3 linked regions of the Macaca fascicularis genome follow. The protein of the gene in region 2 interacts with the protein of the main gene of each other region in a pairwise test. Links are inferred from orthologs where the notes say so. Each region holds a gene or a part of one and is shown on either strand. Other genes may lie near its edges.

Region 1 (4,285 bases), on a different chromosome or scaffold from region 2:
CCTGGTTAGGTAGTCAGATTTAGGGGAATGAAAACATATCCTTCAAACCAATCCTTAGCTAACAAATATTCTAGGTGTCTAAGTGAATGGTCCCAATGCTTGAATAGATATTTAAATTTTCTACGTTTTCTGAGCTGATGACATCCTCCTATGAAAGTTGAAACCTAAAATGAAAACCATGTCTTTTCTCTTTCTGTCTCTTTAGCAATGAGTAAAGGCATAATCCACAGGTAGGCTCAAATAGACCTTAGAAAACATTCTATCTCCAAGATAAATAAGTGATCCCCAAAGTTTCCGAAGTTCTGTGCCAGAGAATGTGGCTGAAATAAAGTAACAGGTATACATTTAAATCCGAATGCCCACTTTGGCCATTAAAAGAAAAATCACAAGCCAAGAATATCTACTTAAAGCATTAGCTTTCAAGTGGATCTACCAAGATGAACTAGTTGTAAAGTGTACTCCAATAAAATAAGTTGATCTGTTACACGGTTGTTATGAGCCTGTTAAACTGGAGGATATCTGCCAATCAAAAAAGACAACCCGAAGTTTAAAGAGCTGATCTTAAGCCTTCATTTGTCAAGTAATGAGACTACATGACTACTTTTGCTTAGAACCACTTCTAATTAATGACAATAAAATTATGACATTACCATAAAATGCTTATTTTTCTGTATTCTATTAATGTATATTTATCATGTAATATTTGGGGAGGCAGAGGGAATAGAGGAAAATGTTTTTAGTCACATTAGAAATCTTTACAAGAGGGGCCTGGTGTGGTGACTCATGCCTGTAATCTCAGCACTTTGGGAGGCCAAGGTGGGTGGATCACTTGAGGTCAGGAGTTCCAGACCAGCCTGGCCAACATAGTGAAACTCTGTCTCTAATAAAAATACAAAAATTAGCTGGGTGTGGTGGCGCATGCCTGTAATCCCAGCTACTTGGGAGGCTGAGGCAGGAGAATCGCTTGAACCCAGGGGGCAGAGGTTGCAGTGAGCTGAGATCACGCCACTGCACTCCAGCCTAAGGACAGCCAGACTCTGTCTCAAAAAAAAGGCTGGGCATGGTGGCTCATGTCCATAATTCCAGCACTTTGGGAGGCTGAGGAGGGCGGGTCACCTGATCTCAGGAGTTCAAGACTGGCCTGGCCAACTTGGTGAAAACTCGTCTACTAAAAATACAAAAATTAGCTGTGCATGGTGGTGGGTGCCTGTACTCCCAGCTACTGGAGAGGCTGACGCAGGAGAATCGCTTGATCTGGGAGGCAGAGGTTGCAGTGTGCTGAGATGACGCCACCGCACTCTCCAGACTGGGTGAGAGTGAGACTGTCTCAAAAACAAAACAGAACAAACCAGAAATCATTACAAGATCTGTTAAGAGGCCATTTCCTATCCACCTTGACTATGTCTCTCAAGTATATTTTAATTTAAAATTTATCTGTTTTGAACAAAAGTTTTAGGAAAATCAATTTATGGTATTCTTCTCCATCCCCCTGAAAAAGGGAGAATAAGTGGCAAGAATTTTCCAGAGCCTCAAAGATGAACTTACTGCCCAAGAGGCTTGTTTTAGAATCTCACAATTTGTACTTGCGCTTTTTGTGGTATTTAGGAATTACAATATCCTAAAAAATGTAAACATTAAAAAGCATCATCATCATAATGAGATATTGTTAAACAGGCATGATAATGGTATTGTGGTTGTGTTTTTAAAAAGTCCTCATGTGTTCGACACGATTACTTACAAGTGAAATAAGATGTCTGGGATTCCTTTGAAATACTATACTTCAGCACACTCACAAACATGCACAAAGCGGGGTGGAGATAAAAGAAATGACTGGCCTTAAGTTGGTAACTCTTGAAGCTGGATGATGGGTACACATCATTACACCATTCGATTTTTATGTATTTCGGAAACTTTCCATAATAAAAAAAGCATTATCTTAAGATAGATAGATATCACTCATTTTAAGAATGATTCTTTTGAGAGATTATCTTCAGAGGCTTAATGAAAGATCTGATATCACAAAGTAAAATGTTTTGGCAAGTTTATGAAGGGTAGATATGAAAAAGTATTACAATTGAGAAAAATCAGTTAAAAGTGAACACTCACAAAACATTTAGGGAATGCTAATACACACACACACACACACACACACATATATATATATTCATTCCAGCAGTGAAAACACCAAAGTGCAGTTGTAAACCTGAAACTCCAAACCAAATACAATTCAACTTCTATCCAGCCACTGAGTATGCAAGATCATGGTAGGCGCAGGTGTTTGGGGAGGCAGAGCATTTAAGCATTACATTTTGCAGTTAAAATTAATAGCCAGGAGAAAGGGGGCAGGAACTTGGTGGCTGGGCAGACGCTCCAGGGGCAAACGCCTGGGATCGTGGCTTTGTCACTTACAGGCTGGGACCTTTCCAAGCTTCAGTTCCTCCAGAGGGGATAACAGTACCTACCTTACGGGGTTGTTGGGAGGTTTAATTATAAGAATGCATGCAAATAACAAGCAGCTCTTAATTGATAGGACCTGATGGTGTTACTGTTAAGGACGGAGATTTTTACACCCTCCAGGGTGAGATAGGAACGCCAGCGGCTAGGAAAAAAAAAAAAGAAAAAGACTCAGTGCTGTCTCCGCCCGCCCGTCTCCGAGCCTGAGGCGCAGGCCCATGGGATGCTCGGGCTTCTTTTAGGCGCCTGTTTCAGGCTCCAGTTCCGCTCTCCGCTCAGCCTAGGGTCCAGCCTCTGGCCGTCAGAACCAGTAGAGACGGCGATTCCTCAGGTCTGACCCCCCAGCAGGAATCTGCGGTGCGCCTGCAGAGACGAGCATCCGCAACAACCTCCGCCTCAGCCAGGCCCGAGTTCCATCCGGGTTCTCCAGGGTGCTTCCCGCCCGTAAACTGGGCGAGGCGTCTCCCACACGCAGGCGCAGTAGCAAAGGGCTGTGGGATGGGCTGGCGGGCTTGAGTACTGAGCATGCGCGCTGGCCCTCCCCCTTTCTTTGAGGTTGTGTACGTGGAACACAAAATCGTTTGTTTATTGTGTCTGCCAGAGAGGATGAACCGTACAATTTCAGGAATGGAAGGGGCTACAAACTACACATAGTTCTTTTTAACATGCAGAGCACTGAAACTTTTATATTGTGTTGGGCTTTGAGCTTGGAGATGATAAAACGCTTGATAATTACCATGTTCCATGTGGAATAAATGAGAGAAAAAGAGAAGGAAGCTCATTGTAATCTCAGATTAGACATTTCAGCAGTGGAGGATGAGCTTCCATAGCTTGTGTACTGTTGTCCATGCAGGGTGATCCCCCCGCCTTTCCTTAAGTGGGAACATGGGGATGAATTTCCTTATCATCATCCATCTCAGAGGAAAGATTTTTATTTAAAATTCTTTCAACAACATGATTTCAAAGAAATAAACCCATATTAGAGAGGTTTTAGGGAAAAATCCCAAGTAGAGACTAGGAAACGTTGTTGAAAGAAGTAAACCGGAATATAGCCCTTTCCTGTTTGGGGGTCTTTCCAGAATTCTTATAAACTTAAATGAGTTTACTCATTTTTGTACAATATTGTTAGAAGCATTCTATAAGGCTAGTGTGTGTGAGGAGTGGTGGGGCGTCAAAGAACGTGGGCCAGATACATCATTTTCAGGTGCTGAGGGTGAGCCTGGTAAATATTGAGGGGCTGCATAAGTTTTTGTGGATGCAAGAAACTGCTATAAGACCAGCCTTGTTGGTCAAGAAACTAGGGCCTTAAATACTAGAGAAGGGGATAGGCTTCAGAATCCGAGACAGCTAGCTTCATGTCCTGACTCCAATACTTACAACGGTTAGGATTTGTGCAGATTACTTGGAGTTAATTCCATGTGCTTTTTGTAAAATTGATAGATCATCCATTACCCCATGAAGTTCTTTTGAGGAAGGAGGTAACATTATGACAATTACAGTACATAATTCTCGAAAAGGCAGCTATTATTGAGATAATAAAATCAAAGCTCAATCTGAATAATGTCCTAGGCATTACGATTTTGAGACAGGGTCTCATTCTGTTGCCCAGGCTGGAGTGCAGTGGTGCAATCTCTGCTCACTGCAACCTCCACCTCCCGGGTTCAAGCAATTCTCATGCCTCAGCCTCCTGAGTAGCTGGGATTATAGGTGTGTGCCACCATGCCCAACTAATTTTTGTATTTTTAATAGAGATGGGGTTCCGCTATGTTGGCCAGGCTGGCTGGGCATTACTTTTCGAAAATAAAACAGAAGACATGATTCTGGATATTAT
Region 2 (4,426 bases):
ATGTAAAGTTAACATAACTTTTACTATAATTTATTTCTCACAGCCACATATTGTGAGTATAATTGGCAATTCCTCATGGTATTTAGGAGACTTCCCATCATTATTATTTTTTTTTTTTTTGAGATGTACGCTTACTCTGTCACCCAGGATGTAGTGCAGTGGTGCAATCCCAGCTCCCTGCAACCTCCGCTTGCCAGATTCAAGCGATTCTCCTGCCTCAGCCTTCCGAGTAGCTAGGACTACAGGTGTCAGCCACCACAGCTAATTTTTGCATTTTCAGTAGAGATGGGGTTTCACCATGTTGGCTAGGCTGGTTTCGAACTCCTGACTTCAAGTGATCCACCTACCTCATCCTCCCAAAGTGCTGGGATTACAGGTGTAAACCACCACACCAGGCCTATATCTTTATTATTACCAGAGTAATTTTCATGTAATTACCTGGACTGGATTCCTAGAAGTGGTATTACTATGATACTGAGATTTTTATTCCTACGTGTTTAACATCCCTAACAATGTTAAAACTGTCAAACTATATTTATGCCAATCATGCATTCAACATTGAGTTCCCACTGAGTCCTAGGTTTGGGCTAGATGCTAGGGGCACAAGTCAGAACATTGCTGCGAGAGGAAGAAGTGAAAAAGCAGTTACAATTTTTTAACGATTATAACTATGGAAAACTTAAAACACATAATCTTCATTTTGGGCTCTGCCACTTTACAATACTCTGTGAATAAAGAGACTAACTCGGCCGGGGCAGTGGCTCACGCCTGTAATCCCAATACTTTGGGAGGCTGAGGCGGGCAGATCACTTGAGGTCAGGAGTTCCAGACCAGCCTGGCCAACATGTCGAAACCCCATCTCTACCAAAAAATACAAAAATTAGCCGGGTGTGGTGGCGCATACCTGTAGCCCCAGCTACTCCAGAGGCTGAGGTGTGAGAATCACTTGACCCCAGAAAGGGGAGGCTGCTGTGAGCCGGGATTGCGCCACTACACTCCAACCTGGGCAACACAGAGAGATTACGTCTCAAAAAAAAAAAGAGAGAGAGAGAGAGATAATTCGTGTCCAAAGCAGTTGGGAGCTTTCCTTCCGATCCTCTCTTACCCAGTGGGTAATTACTGGCAAGTCATTAACTTTCCTCAGCTTTCATTTACTCACCTTAAAAATGTAATCTATGTGGGGGGACAAGAGGAGTGACGTAAGGGATACCGGTTTGGAATGGCAGTCATAGTAAAACTGTTTTAAAATTGAAGCGGTGATAGTTGCACTACTCTGGGAATATGCTAAATTTTTAAAACCGCACTGAATTGTGCACTTTAAATAGGTGAAGCTGGCCGGGCGCGGTGGCTCACGCCTGTAATCCCAGCACTTTGGGAGGCCGAGGCGGGCGGATCACGAGGTCAAAAGATCGAGACCATCTTGGCCAACACGGTGAAATCCTGTCTCTACTAAAAAAAAAAAAAAATACAAAAAATTAGCCTGGCGTGGTGGCGGGCGCCTGTAGTCCCAGCTACTCAGGAGACTGAGGCAAGAGAATGGCATGAACCCGGAAGGCGGAGCTTGCAGTGAGCCAAGATCGCGCCACTGCACTCCAGCCTGGGCGACAGAGCGAGACTCGAGACTCTGTCTCAAAAAAAAAAAAAAAAAAAAAAAAAAGGTGAAGTGTATGGTATGTGAATTACATCTCAATAAGGCTGTTTTAAAAATAATTTTAAAAGTCAGTCTTACAAGCAAGTGTGGACGTTTTCAGAGGTCCCACAGGGCTTACTTACCGCATCCCAAACCACCGCTGCGACTCCCAGGTGTCTCCAGTCCTGCCGGATCTGGATCGTGTGGTTTGCAAAGGAAAAGGTTGCAAGAGGCTTGTGGAATTTCTGCAGCCCCAATTCCGTGGTCTCCTCATAGGGCACCAGGGCCATTCCGCCTGCACCCTGCCCTCTGCTCAGACCTGTCGTGCAAAAGAATCCTGGGTGACGCTCTGGCCAAGATACATTATCTCTTAACTAACTCCAAATGCTTTTACGGTTGTTTTACAAGTTCAAAAGAAAAAAAAGAAACAGGTGAAGGAAGCCTTTGTCCAATTTCTTTTGCATGGCTCTTTCGAACCTGAGTGAGATTTGGCTCGGCATTTGTGTCAACGGATGTCTTCGGGGAAGGAAAAAAAAAAAAGCCCAGAACATTCCAACTTCCGCAGAATACCCTACACATTGCACTGCTACCACTCCGTGAATTCAGAGCTGCACAGGCGGTGGAACTGGCGGTGACCGCCCAGGGCCCCAGGGCAGCGGAGAAAGCAGCGCTTCCAATCCAGACCCGGGAGTCGGGACTGCAGCTGCAGCCAGCCGGGCGGCCCGGGTTCTTTTGTTACGGTTTCGCCACCTACCTCCCCTCCTCCATCGGCTGCTTCAATAGTGATAACAATGGGACCGAACCTGCCCTTAAACTGGGTGTTAGCGTTTTGATAAGCCAGAAATATACGGTCGCCGCAGTTCCGTCCTCCCGGGACTGGAGCGACACTGGGGGCCTCCGAGTGGCTCACGGGGACAGCAGGAGCTCGGAGGCCTCCCCGAGGTCCCCCTAGAGCTGCCCCCCACTCACCCCTCTCCCGGGCCGACCAGTGCGCCCTTCCTGCCCGCGGGCCCCGGAGCTGCGGCATCCCCTCAGGGGTGAGAGGGAGACCAGGCGAGGGGGGCACAGGGCCTCTCAGGACCCCCCGGCCATGCGGGGCGCCGTGAGCTTCCCGGCGGAGCGCCCAGGACTCGCCCAGGCCGGGCGGAGGCGTCGCCACGCCGGTACTTACGGCTCGGGAGGCGGCCCCGAGTGGGGCCCGCGCGCTCAGCTTTCCCCGCCCCGGACTGGCTGCGGAAACCGCCGGCCTTAAAGAGCCCGCGAGGTGGAGGCGGAGGCTGGCCGCCCCGGCCCGGAGCCACGCGTTTCCGGTCTCCCGGCACCCCGCCCCCTGCAGGTGTCCCCGGAGCCTAGGGCGGAGCCGGGCCGTGGCGCGGAGGAGGAGTGACGTTGCGGGAAGGGGGGACCGGGGTTTTCCCGCGTGCATCCCCAAGTACACGGACGACCTAATCCGTTTCCCCGGCCGCCGAGGGAAGCGCTGTGGGGGCAGGAGCGAGAGCGAGACCGGGGTGCCGAGCAGCCGCGGGTGCGCAGGGAGAGCGTGGGGTGCCCAGGGCTCTCCCAGCCGGAGGGAAAAGCCACCTACCTGGTGCTGAATGTGCTCCTTACCTTTCTAGCATGTGCTCCGCCGCTCTCTGCCTCTGACTTTCTCGCTTGCGCCTTGTGCCTGTTTTTTAAAGGTGGCGGGTTAGCGGGTGATGAAGAAAGCTACCTCCGAAGAATGCGTGGTCACTCTGGTCCCCGCGTCTCCACTATGGGGTCCGAAGCGGCGTAATAGCCCGGTTGGCGGCAGTCGAGTGGAAAAGTCACAAAACCCTTCTCAACTAAAGCGCGGTGGGGGAAGTGAATACGTGGGCGCCCGAGTGTTAAGTTTTTTAAATGGGTCGGGGGACGCGGCGGGCTCCTGCTGCAGTCGGGAGCGCGGAGCTGCGGGCGCGCGCTCGGTCCCAGCCCCTGCCCCGGGCGGCGCTGCAGACTCCAGTGCCCCCGTCTCCCTCCTCCCGATGCCGAGGCGCACCTACCCGTGACGACCCACGCTGGACGTGGAAGGTGTCTAGGGCCTGGCACCCTGGCCGCAGGCCCTGGCAGAGAGCGCGGCTGAAGTGGGTCCCCTTGAGTGGGACCGCGCGGGGGCCGGCATCCTCCCGAGGCAGGCTTCCTTTTCCTCCAGGGCCCCCTCGCCCCACGTCGCCCGCCGCACTCAGCGCGGCTGCACATTAGAGCGAGCTAGGGTAAACTCCCTTACCCGCGACCCGGCCCCGAGAGCCGGCCATGGAAGGGGGCCCCGAGCGCTGATTTTTTGTTTGTTTGTTTGTTTGTTTTTGAGACGGAGTCTCTGTCGCCCAGGCTGGAGTGCAAGGGCGCGATCTCGGCTCACTGCATTCTCCGCCTTCCGGGTTCAAGCGATTCTCCTGCCTCAGTCTCCCGAGTAGCTGGGATAAATGGCCTACACCAGAAATTTTTGTGGGATTTTTTGTTTGTTTGTTTGTTTGTTTGAGACGGAGTCTTGCTCTGTCGCCCAGGCTGGAGTGCAGTGGCGCGATCTCGGCTCACTGAAACCTCCACCTCCCGGGTTCAAGCAGTTCTCCTGCCTCAGCCTCCGAAGTAGCTGGGATTACAGGCGCCCGCCACCACGGCCGGCTAATTGGCTTTTTTTTGTATTTTTAGTAGAGACGGGGTTTCACCATGTTGCCCAGACGGGCCTCAAACTCTCGACCTCCAGTGATACGGTCTTCTCGGCCTCCCAAAGTGCTGGGATTACAGGCGTGAGCCACCGCCACCTCCCCAACCCCTACC
Region 3 (3,647 bases), on a different chromosome or scaffold from region 2:
ACTCTTTCTGCTCATAGTCCTTTCCTCCCCACAGAGGGAAACCATGCAAAATTTGATGCCTATCATTCCTTGACTTTTTTAATTGGCTAAAAGTTTTCTGTCCCACAAATCCTGCTTTGTCTTCTTTGGTATTTCTTTGAATTGTTTAAGCTCTTATTTTTAAAAAGCTACCTAGTTTCCTAAACCAAACAAAATTTTAGTAAGAATATAAAAATTGAAATCATCAAAGAATCATATATGTCTTAGTTTTATTTTAAATATGTTACTTTTTTGTGAGGATATTTCAGAAGGCAGATAGAATATAAGTTAAAATGGAAATAATTACAATTCCCACTAAGTCAATTTGTATGTTTCCAGGAATTAAGACACATGACAGAGGGTTGCAGCAGAAATGTGATCAGATCCTCCCAGCTCTTTCATGAGGAGGAGGTGGAAGGAATTATAAAACCACAGTGCAGATGGAGGCTACCTTCTCCATAATTTGATGACTTAGAATATGACATATTCTAGTTAATTCAACTAAAATTAGTTAATTGGATAAAAACTTCAATTAAGTTAATAAACTAGTTTTCCATTAATAAAGATGATCAGTTAAATTTAAATATTAAGCATTTACTAGCAAAAAGACATCAGGGAGTCTCCTTATCCGTAAAATGTTTTAGTGGAATATATTTGGTCTGTCTAGACTCCTTATTGTAAATAAACATGTAATTTATGGATTTATGAGGCTTGGCTGGCTGGAGAACCCGGAAGGGTATATAACCTTGTAGGCTCTGTAATTAACACAGCATACAGCAGAGACGTTCCAAAATAAAAAAATTTGATATTGTTTCTCTATGTATTACTCAAAAACTCAATTTGTAAGCTATTCCAACCAACATATAGATTGACGTGGAAAGAAAAGGGCATTCCCTACTCTCTGTTGCAAGAAGAATGAGCTACCGTTAAGAATTTTTTTTAGTTACAAGTGATGCCATGAAACCAGAACTCAGGAGAAATGACTGAAAGAAGCTCATTAGCATCACAACAGGATGCCAAGCTAAAGTCATAGGACGCTTAATTTGGACTAAACAAGGTTTGTGTTGCTTAAACACGCATCTAAATGAAGAGGTTAAGGCATTGCATCTAACAGATGCCACAGAGAGAAGTACAAATTGGGCTGCGTCACTTCATTTAAAGAGAGGCTGCAAACTGGTGGCCTGAAGAAGGAATTCCACCCACAGATCCGCAGTGTTTTAGAGTTTTCTGGATTGAATGCCATATAACATGTGCTCTCTGGTTTGCCCCAATCCCCAACACTCCCTAATGTTACATGAGCTGCAAGTGTTTAAATTATCTTCCTGGGCCCTTCAGCAAACACAAACAAAAACTAAAAGTAGCCGGGAAATCATTGATTTCTAGGCAGACCAAAAAATTCAAAAGCCAGAAACCAAGCGAAGTGTTTGCTTCATTTCAAAGTGAATAAAATACAGTCCTTAAAAAAGATGACTCTTGGTAAAAACATGACATGTATTTGGCTTAGGCTAGAAATCAGGTTCCTGTATGAGGTCTGCATGATCAGGTTTCAAAACCCTCCTGCACTTTCCTCTCTCCTGCTTGGATGGGAGACACCTGTTATCTCTTCAAGTCTTAAATATGGGACTTTGGGCTTTTAGTTTTACAAGTCAAAGTGTCTGTTTAAGTAAAAAAGTCCTGAGATGACACTTAGAAATGTTAAAGCAAGCAGCCTTCCCAAGAAATAGCTCCTTGCAGGAGCAGCGGAACTGCCCTAGAGGCCTCACCTTGGGAGTGTTGCTCCTCTCCCCTGGCCCTGGGGACCAGCTGCCATTGCTGTTCCAGCTGGCTTCCTGAAAGATGTCAGGGCTCCGCCGAACCTGGCGGGACACGATGAGGTGAACACGTCTTTCACTGGCCTGGGCAAGAAGACACAGGTATTAGCCACTGTCAGTTTCCATCCACTGCATCCAGCACCAGGGGCTTACAAAGACATCACTTTGATTATACCATTTTTTTTTTATGGCAAAACATGGTTTCTAGTTTGTGGTGTTTTTTTGTTAAGATTTACCCATCTTGTAATTTGGCAACAGCATGAGAGCTCTTTCCTTTATCCTTAAACCAGGTAGTGAACGTTGCTCAAAGGGAAAATCTAAGGAAGGTTTGGTTCCTTCCAGTCTTTGAAAAGGCATCATTAGATATTGCTAATTCGTTTTTAATTAATGGTTCTACCACACACAAGCCATGTCCTAAGTTCTTCCTAGAAAGAATTAGGTTCACAGTGTAAAGTAGCAGCCCAAAGCAAAGGTCTGAGATCAATGGTACACAGTAAAGAAAAAGAGATAGAGTTAATGGCAGTAACCTGCCACTATAGGAAGAGAAATCCTGAGTCTGACACTTGCAAATATTTGGGCATAGGAAAGGTTTAGCACTTTAGAAATATGGGGATGACTTCATACATTAATATGTACAGCCTAATCAAAATTCTTTACCTTCAATTCACAATCACAAAGACATGGAATCAACTTAAGTGCCCATCAACTGATGGGTGGATAAAGAAAACATGGTATGTATATACCATGGAATACTACTCAGCCACAAAAAAGGATGAAATGTCTTTTGCAGCAACTTGGATGGAACTGGAGGCCATTATTTAAAGTGAAGTAACACAGGAATGGAAAATCAAATACTGCATGTTCTGACTTGTAAGTGGGAGCTAATCTCTGGGTATGCAGAGGCATACAGAGTAATATAATGGACTTTGGAGACTCAGAAAAGGGGAGGGTGAATGGGGTGAGGGATGAAAAACTGCCTATTGGGTACAGTGTACACTATTCAGGTGACAGGTGCACTAAAATCTCAGACTTCACCACCACACAATGCATCCATGTAACCAAAAACCACGCATATCCCTAACGCTATTGAAATACAAAATGTTTAAAAGACTGCAAAAGAGTAATTTGCCTTGATTCTTTATTTCTTATGGAACTACCACTTACTCTGACTGCTAATTCTCTCTGCTATGTACATCGATATTTGGACAGGCATTCAGAATAGCAAATATAGTACTTATTGGAAAGGTCTACTCCACATGATTGATACGGTTTGACTGTGTCCCCAGTCAAACCTCACCTTGAATCATCACTCCCATAATTCCCATATGTCATCGGAGCGACCTGGCAGGAGGTAATTGATTCATGGGGGTGGGTCCTTCCCATGCTGCTCTAGTGATAGTAAGTCTCATGAGATCTGATGATTTTATAAATGGGAGTTCCCCTGCACAAGCTCTCATGTCTGCCACCATGTAAGATATCCCTTTGCTCTTCCCTCCTCTTCCACCATGATTGTGAGGCCTCCCCAGATATGTAAAACTGTGAGTTCATTAAACCTTTATAAATTACCCACTCTCAGGTATGTCTTTATTAGCAGCACGAGAACAGACTAATACAATTATACATTTACAATTTGTCTTTCTGCCACAGATTAGCTTCACATGTGTCGGGTAGTATGGGTCATTATTCCAGAATTGCTGACCATTGAGATTTCAGAGCTGCAGGTCATTCAGACTGAATCTTAGACCTATGAAACTCATATAAATGGAGCTCTCTGGTGGCCTATGCTGAAGTAGCCAGCTGACCTCATTTATCTCTTTA

What was found.
Region 1: the proteins of METTL21A (region 2) and FAM200C interact in binary tests that used the Homo sapiens proteins (3 or more experiments, as listed by UniProt). The two-hybrid records come from large-scale screens. The link is inferred for Macaca fascicularis from reciprocal best matches to the Homo sapiens genes METTL21A and FAM200C.
Region 3: the proteins of METTL21A (region 2) and LNX1 interact in binary tests that used the Homo sapiens proteins (3 or more experiments, as listed by UniProt). The link is inferred for Macaca fascicularis from reciprocal best matches to the Homo sapiens genes METTL21A and LNX1.

Annotation. Positions count from the first base shown.
Region 1 is NC_088380.1:167,167,844-167,172,128, forward strand, and holds the start of FAM200C (protein FAM200C), read right to left. Parts: upstream 2,874-4,285; 5' UTR 2,463-2,873; intron 1-2,462.
Region 2 is NC_088386.1:103,574,332-103,578,757, forward strand, and holds the start of METTL21A (protein N-lysine methyltransferase METTL21A), read right to left. Parts: upstream 2,854-4,426; 5' UTR 2,658-2,853; coding exon 2,600-2,657; exon of another isoform or gene 2,385-2,599; intron 1,950-2,384; coding exon 1,774-1,949; intron 1-1,773. UniProt on the Homo sapiens protein: Protein-lysine methyltransferase that selectively trimethylates residues in heat shock protein 70 (HSP70) family members. Contributes to the in vivo trimethylation of Lys residues in HSPA1 and HSPA8.
Region 3 is NC_088379.1:80,430,853-80,434,499, reverse strand, and holds part of LNX1 (E3 ubiquitin-protein ligase LNX), read right to left. Parts: intron 1,914-3,647; coding exon 1,782-1,913; intron 1-1,781.